Linked DNA regions of Bombyx mori. The protein of the gene in region 2 purifies or fractionates together with the protein of the main gene of each other region. This does not show direct contact. Links are inferred from orthologs where the notes say so. Each region holds a gene or a part of one and is shown on either strand. Other genes may lie near its edges.

What was found. The genes of interacting proteins can lie anywhere in the genome.
Region 1: the proteins of drebrin-like protein B (region 2) and neuralized-like protein 4 purify together in Homo sapiens (co-immunoprecipitation; 4 studies listed by BioGRID and IntAct, counting the BioPlex papers as one, with this or other methods). This does not show direct contact. The link is inferred for Bombyx mori from reciprocal best matches to the Homo sapiens genes DBNL and NEURL4.

What each region holds. Positions count from the first base shown.
Region 1 is NC_085107.1:10,079,913-10,087,998, forward strand, and holds the start of neuralized-like protein 4, read left to right. Parts: upstream 1-2,934; 5' UTR 2,935-3,162; intron 3,163-3,280; 5' UTR 3,281-3,285; coding exon 3,286-3,438; intron 3,439-4,128; coding exon 4,129-4,230; intron 4,231-4,478; coding exon 4,479-4,592; intron 4,593-4,725; coding exon 4,726-4,887; intron 4,888-5,126; coding exon 5,127-5,262; intron 5,263-5,341; coding exon 5,342-5,405; intron 5,406-5,766; coding exon 5,767-5,899; intron 5,900-6,883; coding exon 6,884-7,039; intron 7,040-7,547; coding exon 7,548-7,688; intron 7,689-7,777; coding exon 7,778-7,865; intron 7,866-8,086. UniProt on the Homo sapiens protein: Promotes CCP110 ubiquitination and proteasome-dependent degradation. By counteracting accumulation of CP110, maintains normal centriolar homeostasis and preventing formation of ectopic microtubular organizing centers.
Region 2 is NC_085117.1:15,761,256-15,769,656, reverse strand, and holds the start of drebrin-like protein B, read left to right. Parts: upstream 1-3,085; 5' UTR 3,086-3,222; coding exon 3,223-3,305; intron 3,306-3,605; coding exon 3,606-3,777; intron 3,778-4,858; coding exon 4,859-5,096; intron 5,097-5,384; coding exon 5,385-5,482; intron 5,483-6,006; coding exon 6,007-6,086; intron 6,087-7,558; coding exon 7,559-7,717; intron 7,718-8,401. Other genes in the region: ciliary microtubule inner protein 2B, read right to left, coding at 1,595-1,665. UniProt on the Homo sapiens protein: Adapter protein that binds F-actin and DNM1, and thereby plays a role in receptor-mediated endocytosis.

The DNA.
Region 1 (8,086 bases), on a different chromosome or scaffold from region 2:
ATAAGTTAAGCGGTTGTCGGAGCCCATAGCTATCGACAACTTTTTTTTTTCTAGCTAAGCTGATAGCCTTGAGAGGCTATATCAGCGGAACCTTAACTAGTAGGTAAGCTCACGGAGCTCAAACCTGACGAAGCTGCTAACACGAACCCTAGCAAGAGCCGTGCTTCGCAGAATCTACCATCGGATCGGAAAGGCGACCCACTGAGAAGATCCGGCGAGAAACTCAGTGGGCTGTGTCTGAGGGTTAATTTACTCGTCGAGCCTTTCGTCGCAAGCGACGGGTTCTTTCATTAAAGACCAGCTTTAAGCAAGAGTTAAAGGAACCGAAAATGGTGTCAGGTAGGTATGATTGCGCTGCGTTTATTAATAAAAATCTAAAGCATAGTCCCCTTTACAAAAAGCAAACTCTATTGAAGCAGTATTCATTATAACTTTAATAAATAGATAAAAGTTTCCAATTTAATGTATAAACAATGCATACGGGCAGTGGGAAGTCCATATCACCTGGCCTTGCAAGTTGGGAGTCGGAATAAAAAATAGGTCGAGTCTATTTTATAGTTTGTCCGTGATAATATAAAACGAACAATGTTTGATAGAAGATAGACAACAGTGAAAATTTGTAAATCAATACGCCTTTACCGACCGCAAATAATTGTTTATTTGTAAAAAGAATATATGTACCTACTTCACAAATTATCTTTCGCAAATGAGCAGTCGAGTTAATGACACTTTTTTTGGCATGTAGGTACCTAATGGTTCCTGGTAACATGGAGACCATTCCATTTTACACATCGGAAGCGAAATAGTAAGCAAGTAGGTAAGTTTTTTTCAAATTCAAATATAAGACGTGCCCGTCTGAATTTTCTTTTTTAATAGGTACCACATTTTTGTGATGGGAACTGTTAAAATCAACTGCAGATTATTATTTTTTAATATTCTATATTCATTAAGTTTCAAATCGTGATAACCGGTCATAAAATCGGAACTAATCGATTTCTTAATTGATAAAACTTTAAAATCATAGTGATACTACTGAGTCAGGAATCGGATGGCGGTATATAGCGTCCTGCGGGAAATTCTAGTACAAAAGAGGCACTACCTGCGGCGGCTTGACTGATGGCTGACGTAGAGTCGTCGACTGTTGCTCCGACGACCCGTCGGTAGGGCGTTGTAGGGGTAGCACCGCGAGTCTGTTTCTAGTGTTGATCGAACTATTCCGTCTGGATTCTGACCCTGAGCGGAGATCGGATGTCAGATGAGAGAGTGTAAGGGGAGTCGTTTGGTGGGTAGGGCCTAGAAAATATTCTTGAGCCCGCGGTCTGCTCCCAACACCTACAGACCGTCAAGTCCCACATAACTTGCGTGGCCGCTAGGCGCGGACACCTTTTTTTTTTTATTGCTTTGATGTATAGACGAGCTTACAGCCCACCTGGTGTTAAGTGGTTACTGGAGCCCATAGACATCTACAACGTAAATGCGCCACCCACCTCGAGATATAAGTTCTAAGGTTTCAGTATAGTTACAATGGCAACCCCACCCTTCGAACCGAAACGCATTACTGCTTCACGGCGGAAATGGGCGGGGTGGTGGTACCTACCCGTGCGGACTCCCAAAGGTCCTACCAGGGGTAGGGTTCGGCCCCTGCCCGAAAAGAAAGGCGTTTAAGAATCTCGAATCTTCATGTTCCTGAAGTATAGAGTCTTGAGAAACTGAGCGTTGTATAACTTATGCCTCCCGTTGCCAATATGCACCAGTCACTGGTCGATCTCTATTCTTAAGTTGTGGGCACAGTTTTTCTAGACTATGTTTTGTAAGAAGTAGTTGGTAGTAGCAGGAATCTATACCAAAACTAACAATTAGAAGTATGTATTGCTTATAGCGTGCCCAAATGATGGTAGCTGTTGTTATAGCGAGAATGGTACACATACGATGCTAAACTTTTTATTCTCTTCAAAGGTGTTTAAAATATTAAATAAACATAGTGTATTATTGAGTAGGGATGACAATATCAATATATTCCGTCAATAAAAAAGTAACCATCACATTTAATTAATTTTTAGTGACAAAGATTCAGTCAGATTTTTACTTTTTGTTTTTACTAGATAAAACGAATGTTAATTAAAGATTAAATTTTTCAGGGGATTTTACTAAAGTTGTAAATTGTAGTATAATTGAAATATAGGAATTTGTAAAACAATGAATTTTAATAACATCTACGACCTCAATAATCCAAGTTTGTTTGCTTTGTAGTTACATTTAATTTAACATTGCCTAAAATTATGTTTACAATTTTTGAAATGGTTTGTAATTTTCATGTTGTCCTACACCTATCAAAGCTTGTAGAGTATTTTGTTTGAAAAAACAAAACGCTATATTGATCGACTCTTACACAGACTATACCATATTAAAATAGTAATGTAACTTACGAAATGTTTCAGCAATCGAATGAATTGGATTCGTCAAATTGAATAGAAATAATCACAAATAAAACTACTAGTTTCATTTTTTACCCCTAGCTTATCTCTGGTAGCCTAAGGGGCTATCCTAGCTACGCTCGGACTGGTACCGAAATTCACGGGCTCACCTTGAATGTCTGTTTATACTAGCCCCTAGCAAGAACAGTGCTTCATTAAATTTACCGCCGGATCGGATTCGCGAGTCACGGCCCAGAAAGTCTGGCGAGAAACTCAATGGATTAATAATTTCAATTTTAGGGTTTGAATTAAAGGGTGAAACTTTACTTGATTTCTTCGTAAACAATATGAAAAAATATTATAGTAGTGTTTACTATAGTATAATTCTCCGATAAGCATAATTGGAGAAAAATCTTTAACCCATTTTTAGTTCATGATTGCAATTCGAGCTAATTTTGATATCGATCTATTTTGTAACTCGGAATGGCAATTGCCTAGGCAATCACTATTCTGCAGACATTTAAAATTTATTGACAAGACCAATTTTAAAGAAAATATGATTTGCACTTAACCATTTAATTTTTTTTGCGGGGAAACTTAAATAATGAATTACTTTATACATTAATTACAAGCATGCTTGATTCGCGCAAAAGTATGTGTATGTTCGTAACAGTTTTCAATATAAAAAGTCCTATAATGTGTTTAAAAATAAATTCATAATGTCGATCACAAAAGGTGCTAGATGTAGGTAAATTTTTGAATTAAATAATACGAAAACATAATTGCATTGAACTTATTTTAACACTGCCATTGCCTACTGCAAGTCATTAATAATTTTACATAGCTGTGCTTTTCTTATTCCATAGAAAAAATGAAGTTCCACAGAAGGTGCGGCGACAGAGTTACACTGCTTAATGATAATTCAACAGCTATAAGAAATTTTGTAGAATTTAATCATGGTTTAATATTAAGTGCTGAACCGATTTCTGATGATGTTATGTTTGAAGTTTGCATCGATAGAAAGGTAAGCTGTGAGAACCGGGCAAATATATTTTATTTGTGGGCAAATAATTAGGAATCACTCACGGCAAATTCACTCTTGAATGACCAAGTACTTTAGCACAATCAATACTTTTTGCATATACTTTCTATTTGTAATATAATGCCCTATATTAACAGCAAAGAAGTATTTTAAATTCAACTATACTAAATATTTATTAGCAACAAATTATCTGACAACTGAGAGCATAACTAACTTCTTGAGAGTGTGTTAATGGATAGATGTTAAATAAAAACAAGCTAATAAAAATGCATTTTGGAGAATTTAAGAATATAGACTATGCATACATTGGTCCATCAGTGTGTATTATGTAAATTAACATTTTATTTAACAATAAAATATCATATTAGTTAAAATAAAGACAGTTAAGTACAAAAGTATATTGCTCATGTTTGCAAAAAAGTATCGGACTTGTTACAATTGTTGAGCCCTTGAACAGTCAGGTCTCTTTCGGAGGGGTTTTGTCAGCTGTTACTTAGCCTAGTAAAGCTCGTGCGTGCTATCCAGTCAGGGTAAAGCTGGAAATACCTTTGGGGCACCAGTTATTCTTCCATCATTAAAAAAAATCTTGAATTGAGCTATTTTTAATTAATTACCTACAAATATTAAATTACCTATATGTATCTTGATTATCTAAATTGAACATTGTCATAGGTGAACGTTTGGAATGGCAGCTTAGAAATAGGAGTCACTACTTTGGATCCAGAGTTTATGGAGCTTCCTGCCACTGCTACTAAACTTCGCAACACAGCATGGGTAATATAGAAAAATTAATAATTTGGTACTAATTACTAACACAACAAATAATATTTAAATTACTAATTACTAGTAGTTAAACTTAATAAATTTCATAATTTTCATGTCTTTTTTCAGACTAGACCATTTCCCTAGTCAAGTTAACATCTATTAAAATCAAATAGGTTAAACTATAAACATAATTAAAAGTTATATAAGTTAAACTATAAAAATAAAAAGGTTAAATGTCCATCGTATATTTTTAACAGATAATGTCAGGCAGCTCTATTGTGAAGGATGGTGTAACTCTTGTAAATTCTTATGGGCCCGAGCTTGACACTCTTCGAGAGGGTGATTGTTTAGGTGTTATGAGAACAAGCAAGGTATTAATTACTTACTTTTAAAAGAAAAATATTTCGACATACTAAACCAGTCTAAAAGTATCCAAATGTAATTTGAGTAATATAGCTTTCTATTTATACGAGAAAAAGTTTATAATGTGAATTTATGTTTTAGGCGGAATTAACATTTTATATCAATGGACGATGCCTTGGAGTTGCTGCCAAAGATTTGCCACCTAGGTTGTTTGCAGTAATTGATCTTTATGGTCAGTGTGTGCAAGTTTCTATATCACAAGTGAATGGACTAAGGACAGCAATGGAACTTTGTTTGGTTCAGGTATAAATTAACAGCTAAGATTGCTTCAATAAAAATATACTTGGAAAGAAAATTTTATGTGAAGCCACTTTGATTGTAATTAAATGTGGATAACTTTTTAATCTGTTAATTAAACATAAAATTATATTGTATTTGAAAATAAGGTTGATAATTGGAGGTCAAAAACTTTATTTATTCTTTAATTTAATATTTATACATTTATTTATTAAATTTGTTAATGTTTTGCCATACATATACAGGCTGAAGACGATCCCAACAATGATGATACATTAACATCTAGCGAAATAGATGTAGCTGGTCTTCCATCTGCTCCCTTCCCAAAAGAAACTCAAAATATTTATGTGCCCATGTCTTCTGAAGGAGCTTGTAGTTCTGGTTTGTTTTTGTTTGTAAATATTTACATTGTAAATAAAATGGATACAATATAGTCTAAACATATTGATTAAATTTACAGCTCAAGATCATTTGAGATTTCATCCAAGATGTGGAATTTTAGTGAAACTCTCTGGGAATAATAAGTGAGTAATATCTATTGTGATAATGACTGGAGTATATATTTATTTAATTTTTAATTAACATTGAAGACAGAGCAGCGTACCACCCATGTGGTTCTTAGTGATCACCATTGCTCATGTACATAAGACGGCATCAGTAGCCAAGCTGACTAATATGGAGGACCCTCCTTAAATCTCGTTTGAAGAAGGATATGTCCATAGCGCTCAAGATACACAGGAATTACTCTGCATGCTTTATGATGGTAAAAAATATATATTACAGGATCATTATACAATCACCACAGAGCACTTGCACATTGTACATACTAAACATATAAGCGAATTTTAAAATAAAAATTTTCATGGAGATTCTATTATATTTCAGGACAGCTGAGAGAGCCCGGCCATTGGATGATTATAATAACGGAGTTGTGATGACACATCGACCTCTTTATGACAACGAGCTTTTCGAAATACGTATAGATAGATTAGTTGATAAATGGAGTGGCAGTGTTGAGGTAATGAAATACAATGTCGTTGATGCAGTTGACCAAATTCAGTGTCGTCTGACCAGTATTTTGTAATGAAGTAATCTATATGAAGTAGACTCGTTGTGATGTACAATAGACAAATTTAATTTCACAGTACTTACATTAGGAGAAACATAGGCGGCGTTTAGCCTCCTTAAAATTTTACTCAAAACGGTATTGAAATTAAATTTACTGAATTCATAAATTAATATTTAAAACGTAAATTTTGATAAATATTAGAATTAATTACAAAAACACTAAACTCAATACTTTACAACAAATCTCTCACACAAGACGACATTTAACCATCATTTAGTATTATTTAGTTTAAGTATTAATATTTATAACTGCTCTATCATCACAATAGTATATATAATTGACACCATAAAACTACTGATGCCTTATTTATATGTAGTTTATTTTTATTAACTCGGTGTTCACAGTATTACATATAAGAACTCAAAAGATTAATCTAATTCTGCAGTTCACCGTACATTAAATTAGCATTATTCTTTTAAAATAAACAGATGGCTATTTTAATTTAGCGATAGTACAAGTGAAGGACATGTAGTTCAAATGAAGGAGACCAGAATGCCAAGACAACTACTATAATATAGTCTATAACTATAATATAATATAATATAGGCAAACCAGAGGGCCGCAGAAGGCCAGGCCCAAACTCCGATGGTTGTCTGGCCTAGAGCACGACCTCAAAGTTTTTTTTTTATTGCCTTTGTAGGCAGACGAGCGTACGGCCCACCTGATGGTAAGTGGTTACCGTCGCCCATGGACTTCAGCAATGCCGGGAGCAGAGCCAAGCCGCTGCCTACTACTATCGGTGTCAAGAACTGGAAGGAGAAAGCCTTGAGTCTGGAGAGACATACTGTACCAGGCTAAGGCCTACCCTGGGCTGTAAGGCCTAAGACGATGATGATAGTACAAGTGAGCTTTTAAAATTGTAATTGTTCGCAGGTGGGCGTTACCACGCATAACCCTGCAACAATTCGTTTTCCATCCACTATGACTAACATGGACTCTGGTACGATAATGATGTCTGGATGCAAAGTGCTTTTGAACGGACACGGCACTTGCATGGAATACGGGAATTTTAATCTGGATGAATTGAGGGTTTGTCTTCATTCTTCTTTTTTATTTTTTGACTCCGGCACGGTTTGGCATTAGCCAATGTCAAGTAATAAGATTTTTATAATTCGCCGTTTTAATTATTTACAGTTTATGAATAATAAAAAATGAAGGAAACCCAGATTAATCAACTGACATGAAGTTAAATGAAATGAGATGAGATGATATGGGGTGAAATATAATCTCAGTAAAATGGTGGTTATTTACTGAGACTTTTTCAATGGACTTTTTGGAGGATCCCGAGAAGCTACGTCCAGCGAGTTTATTTCATTTTCCCACATTTGTGCACTTTCACAGATATTAAACCGTTAATAAACCACCGTTATTACACATTTAAACATGAAGAAACACTTAATAGACAAAATAAAACAATTCACACAACTTCACTTTTCGCGTTACCGCCAAAAAGTCCCTTGTCTTCATTCGCGTATAAGAAAATGTACCTAGTCTAAATTAATAATGTAGTACCGGCTCTAAATTTTTTTCTGTTTAGGAAGCGGAAACGGTCGGTCTGTTGCGGAAAAGCAATGGTGAATTGCATTATTTTATAAATGGTGTCGATCAAGGTGTGGCCACAGATAAAGTGGAGCCGCAAGTATGGGGCGTCGTCGATTTGTATGGAATGACTGTTAAAGTAAGTCTAATGCAATTATTCTTGCCGGCTTCTGTGTTGAAACTATTTAGAATAAGCATTAAAATAGAATATTTTGATTCTTAATGCAGGTTTCAATAGTGGATCCGTGTGAAGATATGGATAGTAATATCCAACACATTCCACAACCAATGAATGCTATCGACATCGCCGAACCAAGTAAGATTTGCTTTTAGTCAGTATTCAACAGTAACTATGTGTTTACAAAAATATCAGTTCTAAAATGCAACAAATCTATGATGTAAGACTACTTTCAAAAGCATCAAGTCTGTGATTTTAGTATAAAACGAATTATAGGTTTAAATCTAAACCGTCAAAATAAATTTGAAAGTAAATTCTTTATTAATAAGATAATTCAATGTTGTATATTTAAATGTAAC
Region 2 (8,401 bases):
TTAAACGTCGTAATACTTTCTTATTCGTGACCATGATTTTTTGGCATCCGTGTTGAAACCAGTGTGATGGACATAATATAATATTCGCAAAAGAATAATCTCTGAGTTTTTGTCGGTTCTTAGCGATTGAAAAACTGCTTAGGTACCAAATAAGTCGTTAAACGTTACAAAAGCTTTTTGGAATATATTTTTAATTTTATTGTAATACTATGTAGAATATTTAATCAAAATAATAACATAAGTTTACACGACTTAATACATTTTATATTAATTTAGCATCCATTTACGTAACCATAGCAACGTACAGCGAAGGGCGGCGCTTAATCACTACCTAAGGCTTTGTAAAATTTCAATAGGTAGTCCAAGGATGTTTACATTGAAACACGGCCTGTGTTTTACTACAAAGTTTAATGGTAAACATTTTCTCAAAACAACAAATTCGGCATTGAAAATTCTGTGAAGCCTCAACGGTGTTTCTTTGAAATTGTATTGTTTCAATCATAATTGCTACATACCCTGTTTTAAGTTAATTATAAACTTTCGTTGTTTTTGTTTTATATATAACATAAACTTTTTTGTAGTCGATATATTGTGAAAATATCCAATGTACTTTGCAAACAGCGATAGCTGAAGGAAAACACAAAGAATAATAAAAGGAAAACATGATAATTTGATTGTTCTCTTGCTTGTTTTAGTATACACATATCAACAACTTTTACGGTTTTGATTTCGAATTTTTACTACCCATTTCATTTTTATTTTATTTTATTTTACTATCATTATAATATTTCTGACATACTTCACACATTTCGTGGAAATAAACGAAAAAGATGTTGTTATATTCATCGACACTTGACTATTGTACTAATCGACGTGTATTGATCTATCAAAATAAAAAAAATATTTATTATGGCTATTTCAAATAATATAAAAACAATAAGGTGGCCGCTATCCTAAAGGAATTGTTTTTTTTGTATGTGTGTTGGGCTTGGACAGATAATAATATATTGTAAAATAATATAATACCTATACTCTATAAGCTCTGGTAACAAGTCAACATCAAGTGCGCTGGAAACGCGTCTACCCACCCATCTATACAAATAAAAAGTATTTGTCCTCAGGAAGTATTTTACACGACCTACATAGCACATTTACTAAATTTCTTCTGCAAAAACCTTTCACACTCACGAAACTACGCTAGTAATAATATATGTAATAATTATAATGTAAACTCAAATTTAAAACTCTATGAATCCAAATCTAAAAAAAAGCTTTGCCCGCAATCAAACACAAAACAACTTTCAACAATTCGAGAATTAACCGATACAATACTCTTACAATGCGTAAAATAGAAAGTTAAGTGAGACGTTGAAAAGTTTTAAAAATACTGGTGTCTAGATAGAGATTTATTTTTAACTATTTAGGTACCGTATTATTTATTTATTTTTAGTGTTCACACTATGCACTAAAGGAACAATAATAAAATTCTTAATATTTGTTAATGTTAAATGTTTATTTAATTATTTTGTGTCGTATTAATCTTTTCCAAACAAAAGTATATATAACTTTCTAATGAAGTTTTTTTTCCACTCACCCCGGTATAAAACATCCATTTGTCTGCGTCATGTAGTTGTGCTTTTCGCGCCCACTCACATCTACCCACATGTTAGTATAAACTTGTTTTGAAACATTAATGGTAGAGGCTCATTTTTCACTGCGTCGCGCCAGTCGGTTCACTACGAGACTGACTGAGTGCTATGAATGAAAGTTCTTTTACTATTGTACATGAGAGAAAATTAGAACGATAGATTGCGCGCGCAACATTTTAATGAAAACAGTAGGAAAAATAAATCATTCTAATTGGAATCTTTTATGAACACCTACCCTATTAATCTGTGGTCAATTTTAAAAGCTTACTGGAAATAAATTATGTATGAAATATAGCAGTAGGTAATTTCAGATTGTACATAGTATGTAAAATTTTAAATTGGTTAAGGAACACCAAAATAATTATGTAGATAATTAATATATATTTTTTTTATTTTAGTATCACGCGAAATATTTATATTCTCTAAGCTATACTAAAAAAGTTTACTTTTTTTTTTCACGCTTAAGCCATATCAAATTAATACTGTGTGCTCGATGATCGATTTTAAGATCTTTACATATCCCTGAGCATCAAGGTTTAATATTTAGTTTTATTCTTCAAATTTTGAAGTAAAACCTAATTACTTGCATGAAATTTGTTTTAATTAATATCACTAAAATCGGCAATATTCAATAAACATAAACAAAGAAAATTGGTTGACAAATATAACCAAAAATGGTATTTAAATATTTTTGCTTGAATATTTATCATCTTCATAATCTAAAATTATATTTTTGGATATTTGATAAGATAACAGAACATCGTTTCTATTAAAATAGTGGTAATTTTTTTTATTTGGTTATTTGATGTGTTGCTAATGTACAGATAATCCTTATTGTTATTAATTTAAAGCTTACACCCGTAAAATGACGATGGGCGTGTAATATTATATTATTTCGCTCACGCACATCGATCCGGAGTTTCACTTAATGAGACCCACAGTTCTGACTTCAATATTCATTCACCATAAATTTTAATTGTTATGGTGGGAAAATGACTTCACATTCCACCTGATGCTATACAGATATTGGAGCTCATAGACACTACAACGTGAATACCGTTGGATACATCAATAAGATTAGTCTGATTTCTTTTTAGGTATTGTGACACTGTAATTTACTCTCTGCATGGTAAAATGGCAAATGGTACCCACTCATCATTTAGGTTTGAAGGGTAGAATATCAATATTGATCAATATCGACTGTACGCCTCAAGCGACAGTTACGTTGTCTATGGATTTCAGTAATCACTTAACATTAGATAGGTCGCTAACTCTTATCTCGTCTCTTTATTCTATCTACACATACACATAGCATTTAGTCGAAGGTCTACAATTCAAGTTAATTTAGTTCGGTGTTTTTTTTAAACTGCTGACCCACCAATTCCTTAGTGTCAATCGTCTGGTCAATAAAAATAATGTCAGTGTATTGTCAAATTATGTCAAAATTTAAATGTCAATGACATTTCAGCAGTTTTGTGAGTCAGGCCAGATACGAAAGGCACGGAATTTATAATTGTTGAAATAGGCATTTTTGAAGTAAAATATATTTCGATGCTTTTGGAAATAATGTAAAATGGCTATAAACCTAGATAAACATAAAGAAGCTTTAATCAGTGCGTGGAGAGATGTATTAGACGAAAAAACCGAAACGAACTGGTAAGTGTACATAAAATGAATGTGGTCTCGTCCTAATTGGTGAGGAAGTTAAAACATACGCTCATACGATTTAAGGAGCGAATTTCGAACATTAATTACCATGACCATTTATGAACTCACAGTGTAGATTGTCTTCTGACTGTGTAACTAACTGTACTACTAGTCACTGGAGTAAATTATTTTAAAATAATCATTTGCAGTCTAATAAACTTGTATAGTTTAGGTTTTTTGTATTGTATATGGAGGTTTCAAGAATCAAAACTTTAACATAAGAAACCTCATTTTTATATTTAATTCCAGGGCCTTGTATGGTTATGAAGGGCTCACAAATGATCTCAAGTTCGTCAGCAAAGGAGATGGAGGCTTGACTGAGTTGATTGATGACTTGAATAGTGGGAAAATACAATATGCATTCTTAAAAGTGGATGTACCAAATGGAAGCATATCTAAATATGTGCTTATCAACTGGCAGGTATAACTTTCCCATAGATAAGACATTAGATAAAGTACTTTGTCAATATGTTTATTCTCATATTATTTAAAATATTCTGTATACATATATATTATCTTAAATATTATTTAGAATAAACGAGGTTCAGTTTCAAAATCTGTTATAGAATTCCTAGAAGTTAGAAGAAAGATAGTTCTAGAATTTTATTATGACTTCAATGATATTTGAGCTTTCACCAAAATATATTTTAAGGTTATGCATTGAATTTGGAAGGCCTCAATTATTTACAAAATACATTTAGAGATAGTCAGAAGGAAAACTTAGGAAAAGTAGGCTTTAAAAATGGCCAAAATTGGGAAAAAGGCATGAAAATAAGGATACTGGAATTTAATATTTTCCAGCAAAGAGATACAATTAAAACAATTGCTAGAATCCTCTTTTTTATAAATTCAGTAAGAGTGGGGTTGTTGCTTGCATTCAAACTGCAGGATATTTGAAAAATAAAATTAAATGTATATATTACGTAAATATAATGTAATAGTGTGATATACAGGGAAAAAACATGTTAATATAACTTTATATTAACATATTTTTTCCTTTTTTATCTACCTAATCTTATACCAACCTACCTTATACCTAAAAAGGTGAATGGTCGATCTTGATAAATTGTTTTTATTTTATTTTTATTGCATAGATTGGTGATCAAGCTCACAGCCCATCTGGTGTTAAGTGGTTACTGAATCTCGTAGACATCTACAACGTACATGCGGCCACCCACCTTGAGATATGAGTTTTAAGGTCTCAGTATAGTTAAAATGGCTGCCTACCACCAGTAATTAAGCAAATTATAATTTTGCAGGTTTTATTTCTATTACACGATGTTATTCCTTCACTGTGGAAGTCAATTTTGAACATTTGTTAAGTATGTGTTTCATTAAAAAAATTGGTACCCGCCTGGGATTCGAACACCGGTGCATCGCTTAACACGAATGCACCGGAAGACTTATACTTTAGGCCACGACAACTTCAAAAACTCTATGAAAATCATTTAATTGTGTAAATCTTGTTAGTTATCTAATAGTTTTGCATGTTCATGTTCAAGGGTGAAGGTGCACCAACTGTTAGGAAAGGAACCTGTGCAAACCACATTAAACATGTGGCTAATTTCTTCACCGGTTTCCACTTGACCATGCACGCAAGAACCGAAGATGACTTAGACGAAAAGATAATCCTAGACAAACTGGCCAAAGCTGGTTCAGCATTTAATTTCAAGTCGAGTAGACCCGAGGAATTACCGCCAAGTGGACCAGTTGGGACTGCATATCAGAAAGTTAATCCGGGTAAGGGTATAAAAGACCAGAAATATCAATAAGATAATTCCATATTTTCACGTATAAAGTTTATCAACAGTAATTTATACCACCTGTTTATGGCAATGGCTTTGTTTAGCTTTCATAAGATTTCTTGATGCTGTAATAAATTACTGTTTAGTGATAAGACAGGATTTAATCAAAAATCTTGACCAAAGTTGGTTATATTGTTTACAGCTCGTACTGATACTGGATTACAATTGATTTAAAAAAATATGGTAAACTACATTTATTTTAATCAAATTTTGTTTTTTCTAGTAAAAGAAATCAATTCAAAAGAGAGAGACCAGTTTTGGCAGAAAGAAGAAATTGAAGAGAAGAAAAGAATAGAAGCAGAAAAGAAAAGGAAAGAGGAGGTTTGTTCACTATTTAAGTACTTTCTTGTCATTTTATAAAAAAAGAAAAGTCTTAATTGATATGTGTAACAATATACTGAATTGAACCCTTGCTGAATGTCCAAGTGAACTACGACGCGTTCCAAAAAATACCTTTTTAAAGATTCAGTTTGTACAATGGGGTGTGAGGGAGATCAAATAATGTATCCGAGACATGGCTTTATCTTTTCCATTTTTATTATTTCTTTGGATGGAAGACTTCCCTTGGACGTCAGTAGGCTGATCGAGTGGGAGAGAGAGAGAGAGAGAGAGAGAATTATTTATTTCGCGGAGGAGCTCAGGGCCCACTTAGTGTTAGAGGTTATTGGAGCTCATTGACAACACAATGCGAATTTCGCCACCCACGTTGGGTTCGTACTCTCAGTTGTATTTAAGGGCTCACCTGGAAACTAGAACGAATACCTTTTTTTGTTTTCGAAAGCGGTTCCTTACCTTCAATTATCACATGATTTTGGCCTTGAATATTATATTTATTAATTTAACAGGATAAAAGAAAAGCCGAGGAAATGGTCAGAAGAAGAGACGAGTTAGAAGCACAGAAAAGAGCGAAAGCCGAACACGACAAGTAAGTTTCGAAAAATTGCACGCAGACCTTAAAGTATGGATCAGCTTGTTGGACCACTAAAATGGCGGATGAAAGGCGATTGCATTCAGCAGATGCGAATGTTGCGATGGATGTGTGGAGTAACGAGAATGGATAGAACACGGAATGAATATGTTAGAGGAAGTCTGAAAGTGGCACCTGTGACAGATAAGCTGAGAAGTGCGCGTTTGGGATGGTATGGACATGTGATGAGATGAAATGAAAATGAGGTTGGTAAGAGCGTGTTAACTATGAATGTGGAAGGATATAGAGGAAGAGGTAGACCTAAGAAGAAATTGATGGATTGCGTGGAAGACGATATGTGTAAGTGGGGAGTGAGTGAAGAAATGGTATATGATAGATGATTATGGAAGGAGAAAACATGTTGCGCCGACGACAGGTGACTGGAGAAGGGCAGAAGAATGATATGACCTTAATGTATTTTTTGTTTATCAATGTCAATGGACAAACGTTTCTGTACATCTGATGTACAGTACCCGTCGATAAATATTGCACTTCGACTTCGTATTCATAGATCGTCATCTCTGTCGCACACTACCTATATGACGTCTGTCAGTCGTTGTTCAAGAGCGTTAGTTTACGGTGCTAATAGAAACCGGATAGTAGTGATTGGTGCGACAGAGATAACGCTCTACAAAACCGAAATTAACCGATTGTCTTTTTTCAAAGATAGTAAAGCTTATCGGCGAGTACTGTAGAGATTACCACAGACAGTTCGACGTCATTAACTTTGATAGTTAAATACGATAGCGTACTGCTACTATAAGTGAGGGGCTGAAAAATTAAGAGGCCATTGGTTATTTTTGAAAGGTATTTAAATCGTAGTTTTTTTTTTATTAGGCTTGCTGAAGAGCGAGAGATTATAAATGCAATTCTTACCCGCCTTATTTAACTGAGTTTATCGGTCACTAACTAGTTCTAAGAAACATTTGTGAACAGACTTCATATTACGTATGGTTGAACCTGCATAGTAAATAGTGAGACCTTTTGGCGGGAATGCGAGGAGTGAAGTTGTGTAATTTGTTTTATTTTGTCTATAACGTTTCTTTTAGTTTAAATGTGTAATAACGGTGGCTTATTAACTGTTTAATATCTGTGAAAGTGCACAAGTGTGGGAAAATGAAACAAAGCCGCTGGACGTAACTTCTCGGGATCCTCCAAAAATCCACTGAAAAAATCTCAGTAAATGACCACCATTTTACTGAGATTATATTATATTTCATCCCATATCATCTTATTTCATTTCGCTCCACATTATCATTTTTCATAAAAATAAGAATATAAATTAAAATAAGACATAACTTAAAGGTCTTAGTTACCAGGTCATAAAATCCCTTAAAAAAAGTTAATAGTGGTAGCTGAGAAAACAGACATCACGCAGTCTCTGGTAGTGGCCTAGTCACTCATGCGCGTTCTGGCTTGTTGTTAAGCAGAAGTCCAGTGGAAACTGTGAGTCCTACCGGGGTGAGTGCGAGCGAGGCGCTCCGGCGGCAACGGTCTGCGGAAGCGAGACAGCTGATCGGCTCCTCCACCGCTGCTGCACGAGCACTCTTCCAACAGAACTTGGCTCAAGGACAGATCAACACCTCAAGGTCACTACTATACAGTAACATCTATACTAATATTATAAAGAGGAAAGATTTGTTTTTTTGTATTGAATAGCCTCCGAAACTACTGAACCGATTTGAAAAATTCTTTCACTGTTTGGAAGCTACACTATTCCCGAGTGACATAGGCTATAATCTTTTTTGAAAAAAATTAGAGATCCTTACTAAAACTCAAATAATGTAACCCAAGGTGTAAAAAAATTACCTAAAATATTCTTTACATCGCGTGCCCTGCGAAAACTATTGATAATAGAATAAAATAATGTACTACGACTTTGTAGAACACATTATTAATTACAAAAAGTGTCCCGACAGCATATGTTTTAACTATTATAGTTATGCCGCAATAAGTGTTCTTTTATTTTTAAAAATAAAACAACGTCAAATATCGTTGAAATTTTTGTTAAAGACCCGAGCGGTGCCGGAGCGGGCTGCTCGTTAGATAATATACGTATACTAGCCGTAGGTACTCGCCCGCTTCACTGGGCATTTAAAATTAACATTATTATTTATTGTCATTATTATTAGGGAGTCCAACACTCATATAAATATTAGCCTATCCATTAAGTACATGTATTTTCTACATGGATACCAAGTTTCAAGTCAAATCGGCTTCATGGTTCGGTAGTTTTAATGGAACATCCGTAAAAACCACTGTAGATTTATATA